3 linked regions of the Mus musculus genome follow. The protein of the gene in region 1 purifies or fractionates together with the protein of each later gene. This does not show direct contact. Links are inferred from orthologs where the notes say so. Each region holds a gene or a part of one and is shown in the gene's direction. Other genes may lie near its edges.

Region 1 (4,209 bases):
AGACCTTCCTGTAATGAAAGCAATGGGCCTTTGTACACTTTGTATGCTCCAGCAGTTCTGCCCGCCCAGGAGATTTGTCAATCACCATGCATTATCCTTTGATCCAAGATTTAAATTTTACTGATGATTTTGCAGTTTTGCACTTTCATGTTTTAAATAATAAGACTATATTTTAAATGAATTGAAGGGAAAAAATCTTAATTTCTCATTTTCATTGCTTTGGGAAGAATGTATTATCATAACCTTACACACAGACAATTATAAATAAATTGAATGAAACATCATTCAAGTGTTGGTCTGATTTGCCTTATGCTCCCTCCATTTTCTCTAAGTGTGTGTGTGTGTGTGTGTGTGTGTGTGTGTGTGTGTGTGTGTTTCAGAGGACATGTCAGAGATTGTTTTTCCAAACCCACCCATCATTTTTTATTAACCATAAACTCTCTCGCTAGTCTGGAACTCCCTGCTCAGATTAGTCTGGCTGGCCTGCTGAGCCCTATGTCTGGTGGGCTTTGGTTTGTTTGTTTGTTTGTATGTTTGCCTGTTTGTATGTTTGCTTGTTTGTTTACTCTTTTTTTAAGTGTGTTCTGAGGACCAAACTCATGTCCTTGTGCTTGCACCTGAGCTATCTGGATTCTACAATCTGCTAAACACACACACACACACACACACACACACACACACACACACACAAGTAAATATTTACCTCAGTCTAGTTCTGAATGTTCTAAGGAAAATACAATAACAATAAATCTATTTAACTTCATTTGCAAAATTATAACCAAGCCATTTTGCATATTATATTATTAGGACATTGGGCAATAGAGAAAGGAACAGAATGTTCTAGAAAATAAACTTTAAGACTGGTAAGCGTCACGTACTTTTTCCAAAGATACTTTGGTGTGCTGAATCAAAGGTGGCTCTTTGACACTGAGCCACAGCCTGAAGGAACCCAAGTTCTAGCCTAGCTCTGCAGGGCTGCTGCTGGTCAAAGACATCAGTTTCTTTGAATTTCAAACTATGCTAGAGCCCCTCACATAGCAGCCACCAGGAAGGAGTTGCTCTATTCTGCCTTCCTGATGATAACTGCTTTTAATCTTGTGTTTCATTTAGTTTATATAAAGCCTAAGAAGTAACTATGTAGGTGAGTAAGTGAGACCTTGCAAAAGAACTGAATTTGCACTGGGATCCTCCTATTGCGGTGTGTGCATCTGTCTTTAGAAAGTCACCATATGTCTCTTCTTTTGTAAAGTGACAGAAACCTACTGTTCTAGGTCACCAATGCAAAGAAGCAGTTGTAAGTGCTGCGTGACTGCAAATTTGGTTGATTGCTTTCCAGTGGCTTCCTAAAATGGACTTCTGAAATATCCATGATTCTTGGACCATTGGTATTTGTCTTAATCATTACCAAAAACTATATTCTCAATTTATCTAACTCTAAGGTGAGGTTCCGATCTGCTAACTTAATTTTTCTCTCTCTAATATTCTCCTTGCTCTAATGTCACCTGTGTTCTCCCTAACAGTCCTATTGAGAGTTCAAAGGTCATCCTTTGTTCCTCTCTTTGAAATAACACTCAGACACACATACTCACACACTTAGATACTCACACTCCTTGTCAAATTCATCTAAAGAAACTGTGTGTCTGTAGCTGCTCTTCCCTGTTCTAACATCTTCAAAGACCCTCACTGTATGGAAAACAATACCCATTCTGGCCTCAAAATGTCTTCTGATGTGGTCACTCTGGTCTCCTTTGCCTGTGACACTCCTGGGTCTCATTCTTACTTGCTCCTGATGGTTGGATCCCAGCATTCCCATGCACCTTGAATTTCCCCATCACATACATTTCCAAAGCTCTGCTTTGCCACCCCACAGTCATTTCTGTGCCTCAACTCGCAGTGATGATAACTCCATGAAAGGATTTTGTTAATCCTGTTATAAAAGTCATTAACAGATTTGTCTAATTCTAACTGGGTCTAGTATTTAACACTGGATTATGATTGTCTTTGAAGGCAGTAAAAATTTAGGTCACATTATTTACCTCTTACTGAGTGCTGGGTGTCCTTACTCATGTTCCTGAGTTTCGCTTTAAACCACATCTATTTAACCTGAGCAGTAGTCCTCAGCAGATGACACAGCAAAGAAACACCTGGGATGTAGGTTAAAATACTTTTCTGCTCCACCCTAGAATAATCAGATCTAAGGAGAACCATATATTCATGTTCCCAGTGAGGTCCAAGGAGGCAGGTGCTGCTGATGGCTGCTGATTGCCTTGCACAGGGCTGGCACACAAATCTTACACATTTGCATACATCTCACACGGTCTTCCCCCCCTTTCTTCTGTTCTCACATTCTGCTCCTTCTTTCTTTCAGATTGACTTTGAAGATGTGATTGCAGAACCAGAAGGGACACACAGTTTCGACGGCATCTGGAAGGCCAGCTTCACCACCTTCACTGTGACAAAATATTGGTTTTACCGCTTGTTGTCTACGATCTTCGGCATCCCAATGGCACTCATCTGGGGCATTTACTTTGCCATTCTCTCCTTCCTGCACATCTGGGCGGTTGTACCGTGCATCAAGAGCTTCCTGATTGAGATTCAGTGCATCAGCCGCGTCTACTCCATCTACGTCCATACCTTCTGCGATCCACTCTTTGAAGCTATTGGCAAGATATTCAGCAACATCCGCATCAGCACGCAGAAAGAGATATGAGGGACATTTCAAGGATGAAAGGTTTTTTTCCCCCCTTACTATTTCCTTGGTGCCAATTCCAAGTTGCTCTCGCAGCAGCAAATTTATGAATGGTTTGTCTTGATCAAGAACAAAGAATTCATTCCCACCATTCTCATATATACTACTTGTCTCTTCTAAGCTACTGCATCTATGTTTGACAGTCTGGAATGTTTAAACCCATTCCTGCTCTCTCTTTTATATGTGAATCATTGTTTCATTGGCTAAAATATAAACATATTGTTGAAAGATGATTTGAGAAAAATAGGAAGGACTGGGAGGCAGGGAAGAGTACCAACAACCTCAACTGCCTACTCAAAGGTGATGATGTCATACAAAGGGAAGAGATTCAGGTTACGGCCATTTGTTTAGGGGCATGAAGGAACGTTTTTAATATATGCCAGTTATCTAAGGAATTGGTTGCTGTCCTCACTCTTAACAATCCAGTTAGATTTAGGGATTTAGGGATCACCATCAATTTGGAGACTATAATCTTCATGATACCAACAATGTTTTACTTATCCTGGCATTTTAACCTGTTATTTTGTATGCCTGAATATTTGCTATACTGAGAATAAGACCTACGTGCCTTCTAATTTTTCATGTTTTTTTTTTTTCCAAATAGGATCTAACTCATCTACTTGCATGATGCCGGCAGCTTTCCTAAAAACAAAACATACAAATTGCACTTGCTAGTTCTCTGTACTTGTTTCTGACTCTGAAATACAGAACCTGTTGATGTTGATATCTGTGCTCAGCTATGTAGCATCTTTCTCTCTGTTAAGCCTGGTCAACATTAACCCAATGAAATGATTTGAAGCAGACAAATGGGGGTGAGACCTCTCTGGACTGGCAGAAGTAGAAGCCAGCTTTCCCTGCCACTCAGCAACTGAATGAGGCCAGCGTGTCTATTCAGTTTCACTCATTTTCAAGAATAATCACAGGTTCCTGACTCTAAGCCAGCCCCTCACCAGGATCAAGGTTTAGTGACTGACTGGGATGATTTAGGAGCTCAACATTGTACTTCCTTTTCAGCTGATGAGTGAACCTCCAGGGAGGGGTGTCAAAAAGGAGGCTGCTAAACCGAGACTGCCAAGCCTGTTGTAAACATGACCCCTTTTATGCAAAGCCCTTGCAATAGTCTGCAATGCTGTGAAGCTCGACCTTTCCCCCTGCAAGGAACCTTTGACCTAATCCAACCATCATTTTGTTCAGAAAGGTGGGGGAAGGGTGGTAACAAAAGCTTGAGGTAATGTTCTTGCTGTAATAAATTCAAGTTTTTCTGAACCCAAACTGAGGAATTTCACCTGTGTACCTGAGTCTCCAGAAAGCTGCCTGCCTGGGACACCCAAAAGCCTTTTACTTCCCAGCTCACATTACAGCTCTGCCCTTGGGGATATTTTTAAAATTCCAGATAGGCTTTCATTTTCACTTTCATACATGTATTGGAACCCTGCTTGACTTGTTTTCTCCTTCAGTCT
Region 2 (6,057 bases), about 110 Mb from region 1:
GTACATCAGTACCACATCAGCACCACCCAGGAGCTTTGTCTAAAGTTGCAGTCTAAGACCCACAGCACCTCAGAGACTGCTCTGCTGTGAAGGCATCCTTTTTCCTACAGATCCGTAAGTGGAAAGAAAAGCACACTCACTCACTGCAGTCGTGTGACGTGGACTTGGGAGTGGTGTTGATGGACAACAGCTGGGAATCCACATTCTGCCGGACAGTCTTGAGACCACGGTGCTGGGCTGTCACTTGTGAAGGGAGATGCGAGAATCTCTTAGGCAGGAAGAGTCAGGCTGCAATGCCAGTCTTGCTCTTGTCAGGTTGCAGTGCAGAGGCCAGATCTTAAGGATCCTGCTGGGGCTGTCAGCTAACTCCCCTTTCAGTCAGCTAAAAACAAAGGTCTTTCATGATGGGGGGAGGTCTCAGCAGCTTGCCTGTGTGGCTGCCACATGTGACACCTGAAGGCAACTCAGCAGGAAATCTGGGGGAGTGTCTAAGTGTGTAAGAAACAAAATTAGAATGAAGGAGGCCTGACTAATGTGCTTATGTTCTATCTTCTTATTCTGCCAGGAATAGTCTTCTCAAAGGTCCCAGCTCCTGAGAACTCTCCCCCCTAGGGAGCTCAAGGGTGGCCCACCTGAATCAATATCCATCTTCCTTCGTATGCACAAGATGTATCATTCCATGATAAGATATAAGGCAACACATCTCTAACCTCACCCACCATGATCCCAGCATGGAGCCACCTAACTCACTGCAGGTTTTAGGCAGTAGTGGAAAACTTGCCTAGTATGTATCAGGTCCTAGGTTAGATCCTCAACTCCTTAGTAAATGAAGAATTAATAAACCATGGCACTGTGGAGTGGCGAGTGCAATGTCGTAACGCTGGCTGCTGACACCCCCTCATGTCACCTGTCACATCCACACTCAATCCTCATCCTTGCATCTCTGCTAACACCATTTACATGAAGTCACATGCAGCCAAATGTCTGCACACACCCACTTCCCAGCAACCTTCTTGTACAAATCCACTAATGAAGTCACATCCTCTGCATTTCCAGAGGCAACGCAAGTTTGTGTGGCCTTTGCTGTTTCAACAAACTTTGCCTCAAGTTTCCAAAGCACCTGTATTTGTAGACTCATTCACAGACAATAGGTGGTGACATCCCTGGAGTAGAATCTCAAACAATATGCAGGAAAAGAAAATAGACAATATAATCAGACACTCTGAATTACAGCAACTTTCCAGCAATGTAAAAACAAAAAACATCTGGAGGAAGCTGTATCTAGAATTGGCTGACAGACCTTGAAAAATCCTCCCCTTGGCTTTTGGAGACCACAACAGCCTCAGAGACTAAAGACAAGGGCAGAGTGTAGAGAGGGACCCTGGCATCCCAGCCTAGAACCCAATCTTTATCTTACTCATTCTTCTGCCTCCTGCAATGGAAGAAGGGCCTCAGGCCAGATGTGGGGAGGGGAGAAAGAAGCGAGCTCCCTAAACCCAGCAACTTGGGTTTGAATTGCAGCGTTGATACTTTCTAGTTCTGTGGCCTCCATATACAATGTAGTCAAGTTCTGTGGCCTCCATATACAATGTAGTCAATCTATCTGTGCCTGAGTTTCTTTGTATGTTGAAGGTAGTCCTAGTACTTACAAAGTAAGCTGATGCAAAAACACACAAGTCCAGAATGATCTGGACATACTAGCAATAAATAAGTCCCTCTGCCTCCTCTTTACACAGGTTTCTATGCAGTCGCTAGCTTAGAGCTTTCCCGTGCACAATTATTCTCCACCAGGATTTATTCTCTTTTCTCACTGTGCATTTTACAAAAAGAGGATTAGGTGAGGAGGCTGGAGGGATGGCGAAGAATGCAGAGGCAGGAGACCAGACAGCTTCTCTCTCAGTTGAGACTCCTCCTGGCTCCATACTAGCAGATCAAATCACCAATGTCTGGATGATGAAAAGCAGGCTTAAGGGGGTGCTGTGAGGTCTCAGTCTCATACCTTCCAATGGATCTGTAGATAGACTGGAAGAGTTCCAGAGTACACACACACACACACACACACACACACACACACACACACACACACAGCTCGCTGCTCCCCTGCAGTGTCATTTTTCCCAAAGAGAGAGGCTGTTAATCTATAAAGCATTGGTTTTGCAACCTGTGGTTCACAATCCTTTTGGCAAACCTCTATTTCCAATAATATTTACATTACACTTCAGTAACAAATTCCATTTATGTTATGATAACAATAGTAAAATCACAGTTATGAAGTAGCAACAAAAATAAATTTACCGTTGTGGGGTTCACCACAACATGAGGAACAGTGTTAAAGGTTGCAGCAGCATTAGCAAGGTTGAGAAGCACTGCTCTAAAAGAAAAACACCCAGAGCACTCTCTTCTCCACTCACTGGAACTCAGCTACAAGCCTTCCCCTTGCATCTAAAGCAGTTCCCACCCCCTGGAGTCCCCTTTCCGCTTTCTGTGCATTCCCAGGTGATCTGAGATCCTGAAGCTATTCTCATCCTGTTGCCCTGGGAGTTTTCAGCGCTCCTGGTACAACCTGTTCCTCGCTCCTCAGGCTCTTTTCCTCCTCCCCTTCCTGTCCTTGCTGCTGGGGCCCCAGCTGAACCCTCCAGAGAGACACTCTCTGACTCCGTCCCCAGAGGAGAAACAGGAGGGGGAGGAGGAGAGGAGGGAGCCACAGAGGGCGGAGGCCGGGGAGCTCAGCCAGAGAGGGGCTGCTGGAGGTTGCATCTGCTGGAAGGAGGTTTTTCTGCTGCCTGGTAACCAGCTGCCAGAACACTGAGAGGGAGAGAGAGAGGCAGGGAGCAGGGGCAGCAGCTTCTTGACGTCAGGACCAGCCAAGGGGATCCAGCCAGCTACCCCAGCCAGCCTAGAGCCAGCGGGGGCCCTCGGCTGAAGAGGAAACCGCGAGGCGCGGAGCGTGAGTTGGGGTGTGGGAACCGGTTGTCTGGGGGCGCAGCATGCCCCTTGCCCCCGGGCCATGGAGATCTCCCTGGTGCCCATGGAGAACGGCAGTGCCATGACCCTCAGAGGAGGAGGGGAGGCAGGGGCAAGCTGTGTGCAGAGCCCCAGGGGAGAGTGTGGGTGCCCTCCGACGGCTGGACTCAATAATCAGTCCAAAGAAACATCACCGAGGAGGCGCGCCACACACGAGGATGCGGGCCAGGGTGGGAGGCCTTTGCCCCCTATGCCTCAGGAGCTGCCACAGCCTAGAAGGCCATCTGCTGAGGATGAGGAGGGAGAAGGCGACCCTGGCCTGGGCACAGTGGAGGAGGACCAGGCTCCTCAGGACTCAGGATCACTCCATCACCAGCGGGTCCTCATAAACATCTCGGGTTTGCGCTTTGAGACGCAGCTGGGCACCCTGGCGCAGTTTCCCAACACCCTCCTGGGGGACCCAGTCAAACGCCTGCGCTACTTCGATCCCTTGAGAAATGAGTACTTCTTCGACCGCAACCGGCCTAGCTTCGATGGCATTTTGTACTACTACCAGTCTGGGGGCCGCCTGCGCAGGCCGGTCAATGTCTCCCTGGATGTGTTTGCAGATGAGATCCGCTTTTACCAGCTGGGGGACGAGGCCATGGAGCGCTTCCGGGAGGATGAAGGCTTCATCAAGGAAGAGGAGAAGCCCCTGCCCCGCAATGAGTTCCAGCGCCAGGTGTGGCTTATCTTCGAATACCCAGAAAGCTCTGGGTCAGCAAGAGCCATTGCCATCGTGTCGGTCTTGGTCATTCTCATCTCTATCATCACCTTCTGCTTGGAGACTCTGCCTGAGTTCAGGGATGAACGGGAGCTGTTACGCCACCCCCCAGTGCCGCCGCAGCCCCCAGCCCCTGCCCCAGGGGCAAATGGCAGTGGCTCTGGTGTCCTTTCCTCTGGCCCCACAGTGGCTCCGCTCCTGCCTAGGACACTGGCTGACCCATTCTTCATCGTGGAGACCACATGTGTGATCTGGTTCACTTTTGAGCTGCTTGTGCGTTTCTTTGCTTGCCCCAGCAAGGCAGAATTCTCTCGGAATATTATGAACATCATTGATATTGTGGCCATCTTCCCCTACTTTATCACCCTGGGCACCGAGCTGGCAGAGCAACAACCAGGGGGTGGTGGTCAGAATGGGCAGCAGGCCATGTCCCTAGCCATCCTCAGGGTGATCCGCCTGGTCCGGGTGTTCCGAATCTTCAAGCTCTCCCGCCACTCCAAGGGACTGCAGATCCTGGGTAAGACCTTACAGGCGTCCATGCGGGAGCTCGGGCTGCTCATCTTCTTCCTCTTCATCGGAGTCATCCTCTTCTCCAGCGCTGTCTACTTCGCAGAGGCAGACAATCAGGGGTCGCACTTCTCCAGTATCCCGGATGCATTCTGGTGGGCAGTAGTCACTATGACCACTGTAGGCTACGGGGACATGAGGCCCATCACTGTAGGGGGCAAGATTGTGGGCTCACTGTGCGCCATAGCTGGGGTCCTCACCATTGCTCTGCCTGTGCCCGTCATCGTCTCCAATTTTAATTACTTCTATCATCGGGAGACAGACCACGAGGAGCAGGCTGCCCTGAAGGAAGAGCAAGGCATCCAGAGGCGGGAGTCTGGGCTGGACACAGGAGGTCAACGGAAGGTCAGCTGCAGCAAGGCCTCCTTCTGCAAGACTGGGGGACCCCTGGAGAGTACTGACAGTATCAGAAGGGGTAGCTGTCCTCTAGAAAAGTGTCACCTAAAGGCCAAGAGCAACGTGGACCTGCGAAGGTCTCTGTATGCCCTCTGTCTGGACACTAGCCGGGAAACAGATTTGTAAAGAGAGATCAAGGCAGACTTGCAACAGCAGAGCTGGGAACCGGTTCCTCTTGAGCTTGCTTATCTGCTTTACACCATAGAGTATTTAAGCCCACCTGGTCACCCATCAAAGTCCGGATCCTGTCTTTCCCCGTTTACCCTTCCCACCCTCCTGCCCTCTAACTTCCCCATCCCCCCCCCTTTCCATAACACCAAGGGTCACCTATTTTTAAAAAGTATCGCATTCCATGACGCAGGAGCCGTTGAAGTGGTGAGCATTCACTGTAAGATGGATGTATTCATAGCCAGTTTTCTATACCCAGCAGAGGGATAACTCAAACAAAATTGACTTTAAATAGCTCAGATCCCAAGAGAGTCCATAGCCCTCTCTATTCCTGTGTTCCAAATTTACTTTACACGTGATTATATTTGTATATGGCAAATATTATTCTTATGGCTGACGAGTGCATTTTGTACAGCAGTGCACATGAAGAATATTTGGGTGTGTTCTTAAGATGTACTTTGAATTATGAAGTCTTGGGGGGGGTCATCATTTCCTGGGACAACCCAGGGGCAGAGACACTAAAGAAGTTGTTCAAGTTTGTGTTCCCAAGCCTCCCATTATTCTGGGATGTACTATTGGTGCTTTGTGTCTAAGGTAGAGAATGTTCTAGAAGAGCAGCAAACCTGCTTTTTTTTTTATTCCCCTTAAACATATCCTGTGACTTTCTTCACAGAAGCATTTTAAGGATGTTGGAAGAAGGCTTTTGAGAATTCATTCTTTTCATTTTGATAGCAGGAAATAAAATGTGACTCTGTCGGGCAAGTGTTAGTTTGTCTACTGCTGAGGGTGTGACATGTTAATCAGTGAAGTCTGCCACTTGCTGTCTGGTATGAGCGCTGTCAGTGCAAATGCTCTGACAGGGTTAGAAAACTCAGGGAGCCCAGCATCCCCCTACCCCCCATCATTTACTTATTTGTTCATTCATTCATTCATTCATTCATTTGCATCCTGATCACAGCCCCCTTCTCCTCCCAGCCCTGCCCTCACAAATCCTTCCTCCCATTATCCCCTCTTCTTTTCCTGGAAAGGGGACTGCCTTCTCAGCCAATCTCAGCAAGACTAAGTGCAATCCTCTCCCACTGAGGTCTAACCAGGCAGCCCAGCTAGGAGAAGGGGATCCCAAGGGAGGCAACCAAGTCAGAGACAGTCTCTGCTCGACTCTTAGGGGACTCACATGAATGCCAAGCTAAGCTGCACAT
Region 3 (6,256 bases), on another chromosome or scaffold:
GTTTTTCATGGTCTCCTGGAAACAGTTGAGGTTTGTGTTCCTCTTTTCCCCAGAAGTTTTAGCAGTAGAGAAATTCTGTTGCTCATAGTTGAAGCCAGGAATGAGCTCCCCGGCCCTCCACTTTAGTGCCAGTGAGCAATAGTGCTATGCAAGGAAAGTGCTGTCACCTCTCTCCGTGTGAATGGGTTGTCCGCCTCCTCCTTGTCCACTGATCAGAACATACAGCAGGAGGGAGAGTGTCTGTGTGTTTAGGGTAGACTTTTATAAATGAAGTACTGACAGGTGGGATTCTGAAATATATTCTTCTACATGAAATGTCTTCGCCTTTTATATTTTGGTGATTGTTTTCTTATATGAAGACACAATGCTTCCGCTCCTTTCCTGAGATTATTTAAATCAAACCTCTCTGATTTTTCCCGCTGTCATATTTACTAAAACAATCTGAATTACATGGAATTTAGCACTTTAAGGTGTTCTTTTTCTCACGAAATATATTTAATAAAAATGCTGTGTATGTAGAATTTGTGTTTATTTCATTTAAAGAATAGAGAACCTTCAATACTGATCTGTTAGAAGCTTATTTCCTCACAAAAGACTGCAACTCCTATGTGAAGTAACACAAAAGCTGTTTCTTTAGTGTTTTTTCTTTCATATGAGAAAAAAATTAATTCTAAAATTCTAGTGTTTTTATTATCATTGTATGTATGGATGATACATGTGTATGGGCATGCATGCTTACATGTGGATATCAGAGAACAAATTTGTTGGGTCAGTTTTCTCCTTACACCTTCATGGGAATCGAACTCAGGGCTTCAGGTTTGAACAACCAGCACTCTTATCCACTAAGCCATCTCACCAGCCCTCATATGAAGATTAAAAAAAAAAAAAAGACAAACTGCGTGATTGTTATAAACTTAGTTTGTGATGAAATCATTTGAGTGGATAAAATAATTAGCATTAATTTATTGTCTCCAGTGTCCAAGTACCACAACTAGATTCTTGGACCTCAGCTAAGACAAGTAGAAACAGCCTTTTGACTTACATCCTAGTAGAGACGGCCAGCCAATAAAGCAACAACAAGAAATGAAGCAGGGAAGAAACCGAGAGACCATTGGAGTGGGGGGAGATTTGCTGCAGACTGACTGAGAGCAGAGGGGGAGGTTTTCTGGGTAGCGAGGTCAGGGCTCTCTGAGGAAAAGCAATCGAGTGGGCGCCATGAAAAAGAGACAGATGTGCTCCTCGGGAGTAAAGGGAGGAGAACATGAAAAATATCAGTAGCATCCTACTTGTAGGACTAGATCTAAATCTGAGTTTCTTTCCCCTCTCTGGCTGGAGTTGTGATTCCTCTTTTGGTTTCTGTTTTGTTTGCCTGTGACTTGATGGAGTTGCTTAGAGTAATATGCCACTTTTGAGTTTTTTGAATACCATTGTTCATCATAACTCCAATACTGATCTACATATCACATGTGCTAAGTATGTAGGTATTGTTAGAATGTCCCAATTTATGCCCGCTGAGCAGTTTGTCTGTATCGGAGACAATCCAAAAGCCTGCATTATAATTATCAGCTTGCCTGAAGTAGGCTCTCTAGTGCTTTGGAAGGTCTCTTAAGATTACTACCAAAGAGGGTTGGAATTCCCTCCAGTCTTAGAAAGTAATCCAGTCCCATAGTTCTTTGGATAAAGAATCTGTGTATGGCTGTGAGTCATTTGAGTTAACTTCAAATACTGAAATTTCAGATAGCGCAGGATTAGATTTCTACTACTGGCTAAACATTTTGCTGAGCAACAAAGGAGGTGCATATACAAATGTATGGGCGCTCCTCTCTCCCACTGGCTTCACCTTGAGCCTCTTGGAAATTTCACCAAACTCATAAACTTGGAAGTGTATTAAACATTACACGACAACGGGGAGATCATTTAGAAACAAAAACTGGAGCAACTTGAGATTATCATTTACATCAAATACAGAAAACGTTTGAAAAGATGACTTCGACATCAAAGACTTTTAGAGAATATCTAAAGAGAACATTGATTTTTAAGAATTAGTAAGTTAAATGTTGAAAGAGAAACTAATGGGACAAAGTAGCCTGAATAGGAGAGGCAGTATTCCCCTCAAATTTAAGTACATTTATCCATTGCTTTAAAAATCTAAATCTTAAACGTAGAGTTCAGATTTTCCCCCTAGTGTTGACTGCAGGAAGCAATTAAAAATTATTGAAAAGATGCAGTTTTCAAGTCGCATTTGCTGGACGTCAGACAATTGTTGTCTAAATAGCGAATCTCTTAAAATTAGATAGGATAAATATAACGAATCCACTAAAAGGACTTGTATGGCGAGTAACTCCTAAACTGTGCTTATGCAACGGTTATAGGTCGCCTTTGACTTACATGCGAATACTTTTATAGTGACTTTGGAAATATCAGGAATGTTAGACCATATTAAATCACAAAGATTGTTTTTAAAACGCCTTTAGGAACGAGGGAACTGTAAACACAAACTCCATAATCAGGTTGCTTTGGCCAGGCTTTAGGACAATTCCGTACAGGATTTCAAGTAAACGTTAATCCTTCAGAAGCTCCTTGGCCCTTTTCTGTGCTGCAGTAGCAGCAGCAGCACAAACAGGCAGCGGATAAAATTACCTGAAATCCGCCACCAAGCGGTTCCCATGCCCTCAGGTGCTCAAAGATGCTGCAGACGCGCCCAAGATGCTAGGCGACCGACCAGAGAGGCGCGTCAGCCCTGGAGCCCCGCCCCTACAAGCCCCGCCCCTAGCCCGGCTTCGCCTTAAGCCCCGCCCCGGTGTCGTCGCCTCCGCGGGGCTGAGGATGACGTGAGGAGAAAGCCGCGAACCTCTGCCTCCTGTGGGTGCTGCTGGGCCAGCGGTTCCCACAGCCCCGGAGCCAGACGTGCTGCGAAGCGCACCGCCGAGCTCTCCGGCCGGCGGCCCCCTCACTCCCTCCCAGGCCGGGCCGCTCCCTGTGCGGCCCCTGCGGCTCCTGGCACGGCCCCGCGCTCGGCTGCCGCCCTGGCGCGCTCCACTCTGTCGTCCCCGGACGGGCGCGGACCAGCTCGACCGGGGCGCCGGCGGCTGGGCAGAGGGCGCTGGCCCCGGGGCCGCGCCAGCGCGGCCACCAACCTGGGGCTGTCCGTGGAGGGCGAGTGCTGGTTTCGGGGCGAGGCGACGCCCTTCGGGGCCAACGGGCCGCACGCCGATGTGGCCGTGGGAACGACTCACCCGTTTTCCAGCTCGGGGTCGGGGTCGGGGTCGGCGCCCATGGGGGCCCCGCCTCCGTCTCCTGGCCTGCCCCCGTCGTGGGCCGCGATGATGGCGGCCCTGTACCCGAGCACGGACCTCTCGGGCGTCTCCTCCTCCTCCCTGCCTTCCTCCCCATCCTCCTCGTCGCCCAACGAAGTGATGGCGCTGAAGGATGTGCGAGAGGTGAAGGAGGAGAACACCTTGAATGAGAAGCTTTTCTTGCTGGCGTGCGACAAGGGTGAGAGCTAGGCCCCCTTCTCCACCTCCGGACACCCTAGCACCCACTCCCCGGGTCCGGCCCCTGCCTCAACTTAACTCCTGGCACTCGTGCTTTTCCTTGTGTGCAGCGGCTATTCCCACCTCTGTGCAGCCCGCAGGACTTCTGCCTAATTGAGCTTGAGCAGCAGGCAGGTAGGGCGGGGGCGGTGGACTCGCGCAGGTGGGACGTTTCCATGGCGAGGAGGGAGCCTTGATCCCAAAGTTGCCCCACTTCTGTCACTAATAAACTCTAGTTTGAAGTTACTTCTTCCTTTGGGAGCCAGAGGCTAGTTTTGGACCTAATCCGAAAATTCTACGAATTTCCCTTAAGACTTCTCCGATTTATGGGCTGTCACCTTGTAGGTTTGTTGTTGTTGTTGTTGTTGTTATTTTTAAAAAAGACTTTTACTTCTGTTTAGCATCAGCCAGCAGTGCCTTAGCCTGTTACAGTTGAGTAGTATCCCATTATCTTTAACACAAATAATACGAAAAATCCTGCCCTAGTTGCCGAAACTTTCCCCAAATTTCTGGAACCCCTTTTAAATGTCGGTATTTTTTATTAGGGAGAAAGATTTATTGCTTCAGAGAGTTGGAGGGAGGCAAAGGTAGTAAAAAAAAAAAAAAAGTAAATATAGGCGAAATAATGTGGAATATACTGGTTTTGAATCTAAAAATTGATCACTTTCTGGCCACATTAAAAGACAAGCATGGAACTTGGTTGCTCCCAGATTGCTTTTATCTCTTATCTGAAAAACAAAAAAAGTACTGAAACATTCTCATTCCTCAGTTAAGCAGTTGGATGTTGAAAGGCAGTGTTTATTTGGGAAAACGTTGTTGGAACCATGCAGACTTCTGAAGCCTACTTCCAGAGGCCAGCTCACACTATGGGAAAACTAGTTACAGAAGTTTTTGGATTTGTTCACATATAGAGGTTTAAGTCAACAACATCTCCCTAAACCTTTTAAAGCATTTGAGATAGGTTTTTGTTTTTTTTTACATGATTATGTTTAATCTTAGCCAGGCCAAAAGGCAATCCCTTCTTGACATTTCATCATGGATTTAGAGCCAGGATGGGGAGGGCAGAATTCCCCGTGTCCCCTGGTTCCTCCTAGTTGTCTTCTGTCACCTTCGTGAGAGGCTTGCTGCATTATAAGGAAGGATGCTTTAGGTTTCTGTAGCAGCTTTGTGTGCCTCGGGGCTCAGGATGGTTTCAAAATGTGCAACATTTCCTGGAGAATATATGCCACTGTTGTATTAACACCTTCCTTAATATATTTAGTGGTACTTTCTGTTTTCCCTATTTTGGAGGAGATTTGAAGGGTGTGAGGTTAGGGAGGAGAGCGGTTTGGGTAATTAAGAAGCAGAGACCTGAGTATTTGGTTGAGAAGTTTTATATTGGTAGTCAGCACCTAATATAAAGATGTGTATGATGAGGAAAATAATTTGCATAAAGGAGGGGTGAAGAGAGTATAATTAGTATGTAGGGTACTGGAGCTATATAGGCATCGTTCTATACAGCTCACAAGTGTCACTGGTTATAGAACTTAAGCACTCTGTACAGGGACATTTTGTAAATCACCAAAGCTTTAGAACACACTAGTTGAGAAGTGTACCATGGGAAGTGGTTCGCGGTTATTTTAATGAAGGATGGTAGAGCAGCTAGCTACCTTACTGGCATATCTACTGACCTCACAATGTGTTTCGTTTTATTCTTTTTAACTTGCTGCTCTTTGCCTTGCTATTATAAACATGAAGTTCTTAATTGTGTTAAAGCATTGGACAAAAAGCTCTATTAATGAGTAACTGACTACGTCCATATTCTTTAAGAATTTTTCTCTAATAAAGATTTTTTTTTTTGAGACAGGGTTTCTCTGTATATCCCTGGCTGTCCTGGAACTCACTTTGTAGACCAGGCTGGCCTCGAACTCAGAAATCCACCTGCCTCTGCCTCCCAAGTGCTGGGATTAAAGGCGTGCACCACCACCGCCCGGCCCCATAAAGATGTTTTCTTTATGTGCAGTAGTGAGGAAGAGTAAGGGTAAAAATGTATGTGTATGTGCATAATGGATATCTCTGAGCACACACAAGTTAAGCTTCGGTTTAGCTTAAGTGGCCTAATGAGGTTTGGAAGGCAGGCTGGCCCTAGTACAGAGTCCTCTCTCCCCTGGGACGTTAAAAACACATTACCCAAGTGAAACATTAGTACATTGTGTGTTAAGAGACTGAAGGGTGTTTAAAGGTTAAATCTGAATGTACAAGCACTGTTGTAATCTCAGTTTCTCTTGTCCCTAGTACTATAAACTTCAGACTGATTGCACCAAATTTAGTGATGCCAAAGAACCTAAGACTAGGAGTAATAGTTTAATATAGGTAATGAGAAGTTCAAATGTTACTTAGAAGCCATAATTGATAACATTAAAAAGCAAAAGTGAACGATCAGGACTAAATTCCAGCACCAAAGCAATTACTTATGAGTTCCAGTAGGATTTCTTTGGGTTCCAAAGCTTTTTTTTTTCTCTTAATCTGTTTTAATATTAATTAGAAATATTTTAAGTAGAGTGTCATAATTCCATGTCAAAAGTATTTTGTAGAAAGTTTGGTTTGAAAAGATTTATAAATATTCTGACACAAAAGCTTCCCACACTTCACAACTAGCCTCAAATCTAGCTTGGGCCTGTAGTCCATGTTGGCCTGGAATTCACTATGTAAGTAGTCTAGGCTGACCTCAAACTTACAGCAAC

Evidence for each region.
Region 2: the proteins of Cav1 (region 1) and Kcna5 purify together in Homo sapiens (affinity purification with western blotting, with the first as the bait; 3 studies listed by BioGRID). This does not show direct contact. The link is inferred for Mus musculus from reciprocal best matches to the Homo sapiens genes CAV1 and KCNA5.
Region 3: the proteins of Cav1 (region 1) and Trpc1 purify together in Homo sapiens (affinity purification with western blotting; 3 studies listed by BioGRID and IntAct, with this or other methods). This does not show direct contact. The link is inferred for Mus musculus from reciprocal best matches to the Homo sapiens genes CAV1 and TRPC1.

What each region holds. Positions count from the first base shown.
Region 1 is NC_000072.6:17,336,745-17,340,953, forward strand, and holds part of Cav1 (caveolin-1), read left to right. Parts: intron 1-2,368; coding exon 2,369-2,710; 3' UTR 2,711-4,209. UniProt on the Homo sapiens protein: May act as a scaffolding protein within caveolar membranes. Forms a stable heterooligomeric complex with CAV2 that targets to lipid rafts and drives caveolae formation. Mediates the recruitment of CAVIN proteins (CAVIN1/2/3/4) to the caveolae.
Region 2 is NC_000072.6:126,532,114-126,538,170, reverse strand, and holds Kcna5 (potassium voltage-gated channel subfamily A member 5), read left to right. Parts: upstream 1-2,615; 5' UTR 2,616-3,007; coding exon 3,008-4,816; 3' UTR 4,817-5,620; downstream 5,621-6,057. UniProt on the Homo sapiens protein: Voltage-gated potassium channel that mediates transmembrane potassium transport in excitable membranes. Forms tetrameric potassium-selective channels through which potassium ions pass in accordance with their electrochemical gradient.
Region 3 is NC_000075.6:95,746,907-95,753,162, reverse strand, and holds the start of Trpc1 (short transient receptor potential channel 1), read left to right. Parts: upstream 1-2,814; 5' UTR 2,815-3,275; coding exon of another isoform or gene 3,276-3,323; coding exon 3,324-3,495; intron 3,496-6,256. UniProt on the Homo sapiens protein: Forms a receptor-activated non-selective calcium permeant cation channel. Forms a heteromeric ion channel with TRPC4 or TRPC5 that has reduced calcium permeability compared to the homomeric TRPC4 or TRPC5 channel.